Linked DNA regions of Drosophila melanogaster. The protein of the gene in region 1 interacts with the protein of each later gene in a pairwise test. Each region holds a gene or a part of one and is shown on either strand. Other genes may lie near its edges.

The links.
Region 2: the proteins of SoxN (region 1) and CG10565 interact in a two-hybrid assay, tested with the Drosophila melanogaster proteins (one large-scale study listed by BioGRID).

Annotation. Positions count from the first base shown.
Region 1 is NT_033779.5:8,823,977-8,830,423, forward strand, and holds SoxN (SoxNeuro), read left to right. Parts: upstream 1-1,668; 5' UTR 1,669-2,517; coding exon 2,518-4,236; coding exon of another isoform or gene 4,237-4,803; 3' UTR 4,804-5,694; downstream 5,695-6,447.
Region 2 is NT_037436.4:21,132,750-21,138,265, forward strand, and holds CG10565 (uncharacterized protein), read right to left. Parts: upstream 3,605-5,516; 5' UTR 3,129-3,604; coding exon 2,869-3,128; intron 2,761-2,868; coding exon 2,615-2,760; intron 2,157-2,614; coding exon 622-2,156; 3' UTR 501-621; downstream 1-500. Other genes in the region: ICA69 (islet cell autoantigen 69 kDa), read left to right, coding at 1-413; Ac78C (adenylyl cyclase 78C), read right to left, coding at 4,358-4,471, 4,609-4,754, 4,817-5,045, 5,105-5,508.

The DNA.
Region 1 (6,447 bases):
TGTTGTAGGTCAGTTACTGGGGCAGGTTTTGCATTGTTTGCCGGTCTTGCCTTTATTATTGTGCCCGCTTGCCCCAGTGTTTTCGCTCCATTGTCAAATGTTTAGCAATTGGCCATAAATTCATTAAGCCGACGAGCCCACATATCGGCTTTGTTTGCATTATACATTTTTAATGGGTTAGTAGCTCGATTCAAGTGTTTGATGACTTTGCAGGAAATTTGGAGACGATGCTTAAGGAGTTGTACAAAAGAAATTTTGATTGTGCTTTAAAGGGAGAAAATGTATATATATTATTTATCGAGGAAATGCAGTTTTTCATATAATTTGTATTTTATTTATTCAAGAACAAAAATGGTCTTCTATATTATTCGTAGTTTACGGATGCAAAAGTATGTTTTATTTTAGCCACAATGGTATTTTTTTTATTTAACACACAATTTATAATTAATATAACTTTTAGAAAAGCCCATAAATCTTGGTTTTGCTCTTCGAGTGTGCAAAAAATCTTCAATTAATCGACTTCCACCTGCACTGCAAGTTGGTGAGTAGTTCTCACCAGCTGAGAACTGCAATCCAATCACTTTGCACTGCTAAAAGTCGCACAAAAAAAAAGAGCCCAACATTTACTCATGGGCAACCCAAAAAACGGAATACCAGAGTCAGCTGAGGAAAAACGCATTCATCGCGGGGTGGTAAATTAAAGGGGGGTGTCGTGGTGGGGCAGATGGTGCCCTAAGACAATGCCGTAGGACGGGCTGGCTCATGTGGCGGATACGTGATACGTGTAAGCCAAACCGCATCAAAGTTCTGAGATACAACTGCCGACTACCGCGAGAGCAGGATACATTTGCAGCTGCACTTGCTTAATAAATTTTTCCATCTGCCGACTGCCTGCCTACACAATTATTCGTGAGCTACCTTGGCAAACCCATTAGGTTAATAAGAAGCGCAGCGTAAGACGCAGAGTGACTATACATACATATATATATATATATATCTATATTATATATCTTTTTGTATGTACATATAGCAGGGCCAAAAAAAAAAATAAAAAAGGAAACCAGGAAAAACTATGCGCGTGAGACGCGCTCTAACGGCGAAAACGCCGCAAACACTAAGGCCCCTGGGTCCCTGGATCCCTGGACTGGGTTGAGAGTACCCATGGCCCGCTCCAGCTCCCCCCGTCCATAGCGTTTCGGCCATGTTTAAAGCTCGAAATTTATACGAGAAATTCCTTCAGAGTCTCTTTCGGCAGCGGAAAAGCGGCAACAGCGCTTGCCATAAACGCAGAGACGACATTTTTATGGCAGCGTTGAGCGCAACGCGGATCGATATAGTGACGGAACGAGATAAAGATACATTCGTACCGCTCTCACCGTCCTCTGATTGGCGGAGCAGTGTGCGCAAAATCCAACCCAGCCAGCGCTCACCGCACACAGATGCACACATGCACAGCAGCGAGTTTATTTGATTTATTAGCAGGCCAGCCACTCGTATATTCATCTCGCTCCCGCACAGGCGACGGGCAATGGAAATGCCGACGCACACTTGGACAGCAGCGACGCACACACAGCTACTCGCGACTCAAGACCAGTTTTTCCAGCCACCCTGTCTGGCGGACCGCACCGCATTTACCGCCTCCTCGAGCGGCCAGCGGCAGACGGTCTCTCATTCGACTCTCGCATTCGCCGTCGTCAGCACACGCGCACGCAACGTACCGCACGGCAGTCGCAGCACGCCATCAGCAGCAACATCACGCAGCAACATCAACTCGGTTGTTCGCTGTCTCGAATTCGGTTTCGTGTCGTATCGTATCCGTATCGTTTCGCATCGCATCGCATCGGTGGTTCTGGTTCGTGCCTCGTCATCAGCTAGCCAAAAAGCGGTGATACGAAAGAAAGAAAAAAAAGTCATCATACAGCCAGGGAAAAAGCAGCGTAGAACGCACCTCGAACAGGTTTCGCCGTCGTCCGGAGAAACAGAAAGGTGCTCAATTCCGCCCAGTGTGGAGGTATTTTTTCGGTGTTCCCGCTTCTCGCATACGAAAAAAAAAAACAACAACCAAACCAAACCAAATATATTTACAACAAAATCTAATACAAACAACAACAATATTCTGAGGCAATTTCGCGTCGGGTTTTAGCAACAATTTTCAAGTGTTTTACGCCGCCTCTTGTTTGTTTGCTAGCAAACAACATATATGTATATCTGATATTTGTGACTGTGGAAAAAACGCAATTCAAGCTGTTTAGCTACAAATCCAAAGATAGCCGAGCGCCACATTTTTGATACGCGTAAAGATACGAAAAACTACGAAATAAAAACTGCAGCGAAAATCAAAATCTCAAAAATCACAAGTGCAACATGGTTTCCCAAAAAATGTTCAAAATGTCTAACTAAGCAAAGAGTAAACTAAAGCTAAAGAGTAACTGCATCTTAGAGGCGAGTATCCACGGAGAACCAACTTTGAGTCAAATCAGCTTTATCGCACCGAAAACTGGAAGTAATCCCCGCAAGATGCTGACCATGGAATCGGATATGAAAGGCAGCCTGCTGCATGCCACCATGCCGCCGCATCACACAAGTGCCGCGTTGCACGGACATGCGGCATCGCCGTACTCCGCCCTAGCTCCCCTTATGAACCTGGGCCAGTCGCACCTGACCCACTCGCAGCTGAGCCATCACAACCACCATCATCACCACATGAGCGCCCATATCGCGGCCAGCCAGAGTCCCAATCCGCTGAGCTCGCTGCAGTCCTCGATGGCGAACACCCTCAATGGCAGCCAGGTGGGGCAGCAGCAGCAGCAACAGCAGCAGCAGCAGAGCTCCCCGCTGCACAGCTCCAGCGAATTGAGTCCCACCCAGAGCAGCATCGGAAGCCATCACATGACATCGCCGGTCAGCCACCAGCAGCACACGCAACAGCAGCAGCACGGGCAGCAGCAGCATCTGGGCGCGGGATCTGCATTGAGCAGCCTAACTGGAGGATCCAGCAACAACAACAACAACAGCGCCACGGCCAACAAGAACCAACAGCACGCGGATCGTGTGAAGCGGCCTATGAATGCGTTCATGGTTTGGTCACGGGGCCAGCGGAGGAAGATGGCCTCGGACAACCCCAAGATGCACAACTCGGAGATCTCGAAGCGACTGGGCGCCCAGTGGAAGGACCTCTCGGAATCGGAGAAGCGACCGTTCATCGACGAGGCCAAGCGCCTGAGGGCGGTGCACATGAAGGAGCATCCGGACTACAAGTACCGGCCGCGCCGCAAGACTAAAACGCTGACCAAGACCAAGGAGAAGTACCCAATGGGCGGCCTGATGCCCGGACAGACGGTGGGCGGCGGAGCACCGGGTGAGCCGGTGACGCCCACGCGGGTGCAAGGTCAGCCTGGCCAGAACCAGTCGCTAAACGGTAGTGGAGGCAGTGCAGCAGCGGCAGCGGCGGCGGCAGCAGCGGCAGCGCAACAGGCGCGCCAGGATATGTACCAGATGAACGCGCCCAATGGATACATGCCCAATGGCTACATGATGCACGCAGATCCGGCCGGAGCGGCAGCCTATCAGACCTCCTACATGGGCCAGCACTACGCGGCGCAGCGGTACGACATGGGACACATGTACAACAACGGGTATGCGATGTACCAGACGGTGTCCGGCGGACAGACATCGCCGTACGGCAGCAGTCTCCAGCAGCCCGGATCACCGTCGCCGTATGGCGGCAGTAGCTTGCAGCAGCAGCCCGGCAGTCCGACTCCGTACGGCGGAGGTGGAGGCGGTGGCGGTCAGGTTTCCTGCCAGAGCCACAGCCCCAGCGACTCGAGCATCAAGTCCGAACCGGTGTCGCCCAGTCCCAGTGCCATAGCGCTCAACAACAACAACAACATCAACAACAATCACATCATGAAGCGGGAATACAGCTCTGCAGCGGCGGCAGCAGCAGCAGCAGCAGCGGCAGCAGCCGCCGGCGGCGGCGAGCTGAATCACCTGATGAATATGTACCATCTGCCGGATGAGCAGCGCCACCTGCTGCACTATCAGACTGACTCGCCCGATCTGCAGCAGCAGCACCAGTCGATGCAACAGCAGCAGCAGCACCTCCCGCAGCAACACCTTTCGCAGCAGCACCAACAGATCCCGCAGCAACACCATACCATGCAGCAGCAGCAGCAGCAACACCACCTGCAGCATCAGCAATCGCTGAGGGCGATGGCGCCGCTGGCACACATGTGAGAAATGGCCAGCGCCTATGGAGCAGCAGGCTCCAGTGTGAGCGTTTCGCCTCCACTGCCGCCGTACATGCCGACGGCCCCGCAGCAACAGCAGCAGCAGCAACAACAGCAGCAACAGTTGCTCAACGGACGGCCTAGTCCGACGGCATCGGGGTCGTCGGGCGGCCGCTCCTCGGCGCATTCCAGTGGCCATACCGCCGCGCATTCACCCGCCTTGGCAGCCGCCTACCAGCTGACCCCCTCCGCTGCCACCTCCTCCGCCACTTCGGCTGCTGCTGCGGCGGCAACTGCTGCTGCCGTTGCTGCTGCTGCGGCTGCAGGCAGCTCCTTTGCCGCCTCGGCCAGCATGCTGGACATGCAACAGCAGCATCTCGAGGAGCAGCAGCAGCACCACCACCTGCACTACCAGCAGCAGCAACAGCAACACTACCAGCAGCAGCAGCAGCAACAGCAGCAGCTGCAGCACCTCCCGCAGCAGCAGCAACACCAGCTGTACCATCACTATCATCCTGGCCACGAGGCAGCGGTGGCTGCCAGTGCTGGCCTCCTGGATATATCCACATTGTAAATTATTGAAAATATTAACTAAAGCCCTAGGATACGCACACCCACGCCCACAACCACAGCCACACACACACAGACACAATTTTAGCCTTAGTTCTTAAGCAGGTTTAATTCGAATTTCGAAGTGGCAGAGTAACACATGCGCATATAAATAAATGAGAATAGGATTAATGTTTAGTCATTTAAATGATGCATACGCACTGTTGTACCACAATAGTAAGATGACAACTCACTTGCATTCCATACCGTTCTGCTTCGATTTCCCTTGATTTCCCGCTTGTTGCATAGCTAAAACAATTGTGTGATACAAATAAACTGTTGCCAATTACGGGGACAACGGCAACAACAACAAATTCGTTTGGTTTAGCATTTCATTTCCACTCACCTTTTGCTGTACAAAACATTCTCAGACATTAAATGTGCGTTCAATTGAAGGGAGCAACGGGACGCGGAATCAAGCACAAGTTTAGTAGGAGTAAAGGCAGTTGTGGCGAGGCGATGAAAATATTTCAGAAAAGCAAAGAAAAATGTCAAAAAACATTCTATTTTATAAATTCTCTTATGCATTAAGTAATTATAATTATTATCTATTATATAAACAATTTAATTATTAATTATGCTTACAAATACCAGACAAGACAACCATAATTAATTGTAATAAAGCGAAAACAAAATTATTATTATTATTAAAACATAAATCGAATCGAAGGCAAGCATCTACTGCATAATACAAACACAACCAGAGAAAATGTTAGTAAACCTAAAGCAAATTTAGTAAAAACAAACCAAGAAGCAGCGTGCAAACGTGATTGTGAAACATGGCGCAAGGCAGCGAAAACAAACAAATCCAACAAAACATTGCCAAGCACCTGGAAATAATAAAAACAAAATCCACAAAAAATCCACGAAAAAAAAACAAATAAAAGAAAAATCTTTACAAAAACATCTCGCTACATTTTTACTATTTGCCGTCGGCAAAATGGGAGGATCCGTGAATTTTGCATACCGAATCGATATGCAGGTTCAGCAATGTGTCAGATGGCTTAAATTCCAGTTTGGATTTTATAGCTCCCCCCATTTTTAAGTGGGATGCGTAATTCCTTAGACAAAAGCGATTAGAGTAGTAAAAATCAAATGAAATTCACGCATTGTCAACATAAATAAAAATGTCATTAAACAAACCCTGACAAATTAGAACAAAACATGAGATGAGATTCCCATAAAAATGGTATGCCATCTACATTTATAAAATCCAGCCATGGCAATTATTTGGGAACTTCATGTGAATCGCATGCTGCAATCTGGCATTTCAATATTTATTTAAGTGCATTTTGTCAATGAGTAACTGCAATTTTCGTGACCGGAAGGCGACGCTTTGTAGCCAACACCGTCCAAACTAATTCCACCGATCATGCATCAAGGTTGAAATACAATTATTAGGAATTTTGATAATGCGATATATATCATATGCCATATTTTCAGAGCCGCTCACCAGACCCAGATTGTCCAATCACTCGGCTGTCGCGACGGTGAATGGGCCTACAAAACCCGATAATATCCACTTAATATGGCTAATTTATGCTGGCCAAACCATCACATCTGGCCCACGCTCTGTGCCAACATTTCAAAGAGCTCATAAAAAATTATG
Region 2 (5,516 bases), on another chromosome or scaffold:
ACGAGTACCAGGACAAGCTGGAAACCCAGCCGGAAATCAAGGAGTCCGAAGAGGACAAACCAAGTGCACCTCCCAATGCCTGCGGCGACAATGAATCCTTGCTTATTGAGCTTTCCAAGCAGCTGGAGGACAGTCCTCTAATAGATGCGCCGCTGGATGAAGATATACCTGCCCAAAATAGCACTAACAAGCTATGGTCCCGCTTGTTTAGCCAGCAGAATCAGCAACCCATACCGAGCCAAGTAGCCACGGACTCGAAGGCAAGTGCAGGTGGCGCCACCCCGGTTCCCAGCAAATCGCAGACCACCAACAATCCCTGGCTGGATCTTTTCGCCGACTTGGATCCCTTAGCCAATCCGCAAGCCTTCGATTTAAAACTGAGCGGCGGACGCAGTGTGGCCGAGCAGACCTGAGCAGATTACCCTCCCGCACAGATTATATTTGTTGATCTGCATATACCGTTGGAAACTAGCTAGTCAAAATGGAGAATCTTTGGATGTAACTTTTCGCTAAACGTTCAAAAACTTTTTATGTTTTATTTAAATAAAATTTATATGGGACACAGCAGCTAGAAGTGGATGAGGCGGACGAGAGGCAGGTAAAGTGGAGCAGGAGCCGCACTCATTTGACCGCCGCCTGTGCCTCCTTCTTGGAGTTAACCAGCTCGACCAGCTCTTTGACGCGACGTAAGCAGTCCTTTTTACTGCGATTCGGTATGCAGGCGGCGATGCAATCCCAGCGATCGGGTGTCGTCGTTGGATAGGTTTTAATGGCCTGTTCGAGCAGGGCTTGCTCCTCCTTGGTCCAGGTTTTGGAGGCAGCACCGCCGCCCGTAGACCCATTTGTGGCCGGAACTGGGGCTGGTGCAGCCGTGGGGTTTGCTGGAGCTGGAGCCGTGCCATTCTGCTTGGTTGACTGATTGTTCGCCTTATGATCTACACCGTTTTGTTTCAAGTTCTCCTTGCTCGCCTGGGCCGTCTCCTCGCCCAGGGTTATATCCTTACACGTCTGAACATCTTTCTTGGACTTCTCGAAACTGGCAAATGCCGCATCGTTGGCTTGAGTCTTCAGGGAGCTCTTCGAGTGATCTGTGTTCTGGAGCGCCTTGGCTTTGTTGAGCACATCCCTGGCATTGACCAGAACAGTGTTATCCGGGCTATGCTGGTTAATGAAAGTGGCTATGACATCCCAACGCTGTGCAGTGCCAGCGGGAAACAGATTAACCGCCTTGATAAGCAACTGCACGTTCTCATTGCTCCAGAGCTCATTCTTCTTGACCTCCTTAACGCCTTTTGGCGTGGCCGCTGAGCTGGCAAGCTTCTTGGCCTGTGTCTGGTTAATCTCCTCCAACTCGGCAGCTATCTTCTGCTCGGCCGTTTGAAGGGCAGCAACAAACGACTCACGGCCCTTGCTTTCCATTGCCTTATTTAGAGCTTGCAGCTCTGCCAGATTGAAGGTCTCGCAAATCTTCTCGGTGCCCTCCATGTGCTTCAGCTGATCCTTGTCGTTCTTGGCATAATACTTGCAGTCCTTGACCTTGTCGCGCAGCGTTTTGCGCTCCTTCTTAAGCAGCTTTTTCTGCTGCTCGCGTTCGATGCGGATCTGCTCGATGCGTTTCTGCTCGGCCTTTTCAGCCTTCTCCTTGGCCAAAGCCGCTTCACGGATGGCACGATCAGCTTCTGCCTTCTGGGCCTGGGCGGCGTCCATCTTGGCTCGCTTGGCAGCAGCCTTGCGATCCTTTTCCTCCTGCTTGAAGCGCTGAATGCGCTTATCATTGTTGTAGGCTAAATCGACGAGCGACCGGATACGAGACATTTCCTCCTTCTTGCGCTTGATTCGAGCCGCCCTGTTCTCCTTTTCGATCCAGCGACGTTCGTCGCGGTCCTGGCCCTTCTCCTTGTCCTCTTCGTCCAAGTAGCTGAATTCCCGCCATGACTTAAAATCGTACCAGAAGTTGTAGAAGCGCTCCACCTCTTCGCGTTTGGCGTCCACCTGCCCGAAGGAGGGAACATGCGGCTTTTCGCTCCAGCGCCCGTTAAGTGTGAAAAATTTGTTAAATACGCCAAAGTAGTCGTTATCGATGTCGTTCTGTGAGGGCAGCGAGTCGTCAAACTCGGGATCCACTGAGTCAAAGCTGCGGCGCGGCTTGGATGTGCCTGGAATACAAGATGGAGTATTAGATGGTTTAAGAGGAAATAGTTTAAAATCTTCCTGTCTATTTCGTACAATTGTTTACAATTATTCAAAGTGTTTAAAGCCAAAAAAATTCTGTTGTATAATAGTAAGTTATAATTTGGCATTTTGTTTAAAAGAATGTGAGAGCAAACAACTAGTCCTATTTTTAGATATGCAAAAATAAAGCTTCAAGTTCTGCGCGCTTAGACAAAGGCAACAGCACACCAATGAATTAGATCGAGTATAAATTAGTTTCAGATAATTTAAAATCTTAATTGATTATTATACTCAACAGGATTGTATGGTATCATAATTTTATATAGCTTAAGCAAATGCTCTGAAAATTAATATCAAAATATTCTTATCTGTCGATTTGCATGGGCAATGCGAAGTCCGAAGGACACCCAAGGATCAGCAAGGACATTTTCTTGACACCCACCCAGTATCTCGTAAGCTTTGGTTATGCATGTGAAGTAATCATCGTCCTGGATGACTTCCTCGCCCTTGGCTTTCCGCTTATCGGGATGGTGCAGCAGAACCATGCGCCTGTAAGCCCGTCGAACATCATCCTCGCTGGCCTCGTATCTAAAGGGTGATTTAGTCAGACAATACAGTATTAGTTGGGGAAGTCCCATTAAATATTGATAGAAACGAACACATGGGAAGAACACCACGTGCTGCCGTCGCACTAACCGGAGCTTGCCCAAGCCAAGAACGGCGTAATGATCCTGGTCCTTCCACTCCTTAGGATCCAGCGACTTTAGGTAGCTGATGTCCACCTCCTCGCCCACGCCCTCCAATTTCTCATCGCTTTCGCTGCGCTCCACGCCGCCGGGAGCTAGAAATTGGCGCCGTTGCGCAAAGTAAGCGAAGCCAACGCGCTCGATTTTACGGCGAACGACCTTGAGCGGCAGCTGCACCTCCACCGCCGTTGCTACCGTACCGCTCGTCATCTCTGGTCAGGTCCGCTGGTTAATGGGCATTCACCGCCACTCCTGTGGATTCACGTTACTCAAAATTTGGCGATCCGCTGCCTTCAAAACGTCGAAATCCAATTAATAATCACACTTTTCCGCAGCACCGCATGTGTTTCGACTAGTGGTGGTGAAACATCGATGCCATCATCGATTATGGCGCTGGTAAAATCGATTGGCTTCCTACTCTATATTTGATCGATAACAGCAAGCATGTATCGCTGGCACTTATTGGCAGTGCTGCCAGCTGCTATAGCTAAAATCGAATGGCAACTGTTGTATTGGTTTGGCGCCAAAGTGTGACCGTATCTCAACTAATGGTTATTTATGATTTATATATTTAGTTAACCGTCTTAACAAATTATTAATCCACGTTCATTACATAACAAATCCTACACTATTAAATACATTCCACATTCGAGTTTTTGTTATAATGGGCCACTAAAAAAAGAAAGTGTCATACAATAGTTAAGAAAACGACTGTTTATAATTCATTTGAATGATAACTTGACGTATATTCCAAAAACCATTAAGTTCTACCATTTGTTAGTTTTGCTTATCACATTTATTTATAACGAATTGTATAATTACAATTAAAGTGCTAAATAAGTGCTGGCTGTATAGTAATACACCTTTTATTTGCCAAAATCCATTTCACATTTCAGTAACACTTGACCTCATTACATTTAGATGGTCGTAAAATATTTTATACATAAGTATGCTTACTTTATTTACATTTCCGCTCTTTGATCAAAAGAAACGGTTTGTACAACTAATATTTGGTTTTCTAATTGATTACTGGCTGTTAAATTGACTATTAGTACTAGAAAACTAGTTGGTACACATTATGGTTGAATTGAACGAAGCTAGTAGGTTCATTGGCATTTCGTATGGTTGGCTTTTGTGGGAAGATCCAAATATCTTACTCTAAACAGATTTGAAACGCACACATATAAACGACAGTTCTTAAGTTTAACGACTAGAATTGTGCTGAGATAAATGTAATTCTTGCAACTTCAAGTATGGTGATTTAAAAATTCTACTAAGTAGCTTCAGTGTCGTTCTCCACCATTTCATTTCAGTGTTAAGCCAAACTTTGAAACATATGCCGGCGTAACTCCATTTGTATAAAATCGTTCCAAAAATAAATTCATCAGACACTCTATCGCCTTGAGATCGACTTAGACCCAGTGAGTGCGCGTACTCGGCTATAACGCATCGTTGTGGCTCTTCGATATCGTCGTCTCGATCTGGTCGATCCGTCGGAACGAGGGCATATAGCTAGAGCTGGCCTGCGTGACGATCGAGTTGTTGGAGGAACTCTAAAATATTGAATAGGAAAAATATATCATTATATAAGATAGGTTCTAGAAAATACTCTTTCTAATTAAACAGAATCATATGAACAACTTAAATACTATTTGATATATAATAATTTTTGAAACACTACGTATTGTACCTTTTTCTGTCGATATGAACGTCCCCGAACACGGGTTGTATTCCGGCGCACAGGATTGACCGTGGTGGACTTTTGGGATAACCGGACCGAGCTGAACGTGCTTCCCCGATGTCCTCGACGGATTTGCGGCGAAGGAGTGCCCGTGGCTTAAGCATTAGAATCAAATTAATGTTATAAGAATTTTAAGTTACCCGAAAGGAACACTTACGTGTTCCGGCAATGGCTGTGCTGCGTTTGCTAGCCTGAAGCATTCCGAAAACCACGGCACTGAAGGATCCATGATGGGAGGTCTGCCGCTGAAGATTCGGGGTTTGGGCCAGGGGAATCCCGGCTGGCATGCGAACCGGTGAGATCAGCTGGCTCTCCGATATTCCCTTGGGATGCACATAAAAGGTGGTCATCATGCCCTTGCCCTTCACAGCGATTTCACCACGTTTCTGTGGGATTTTGAAAAAACGTATAAGAATTCGGGATAGGTAACAAAAGACCCACTTACCACACACGTGTAACCCCTGGAGCAAAGCAATTCCGCCGTATTCTCCGGAACCTGAACTCGCCAGTTCTCGCCCGTGGAGTCCATTCGTGATGCCACATTGACCGTATTGCCCCAGATATCGTAGACCGGTTTCCTGGCTCCAATCACTCCACTTACCAAAGGACCACTGCAGATGCCCACACGCAGCTGGAAGTTATTGAAGGCATCCCCATTGATCTCCTCCAGCTTTTGCTTCATGGCAAATGCGAACTCCACCAGGTCGCAGACACTATCCTCGGAGGTCTCGCCGCGAAGTCTGAGATGCTCGTGATTTAATCCCGCTGCCGCCATATACGTGGCACCCACTGTTTTGATTTTCTCCACCGATGCGAATCGTGGCTCCTCCAGCAATTCATCAAAGTCACCTGGTTTG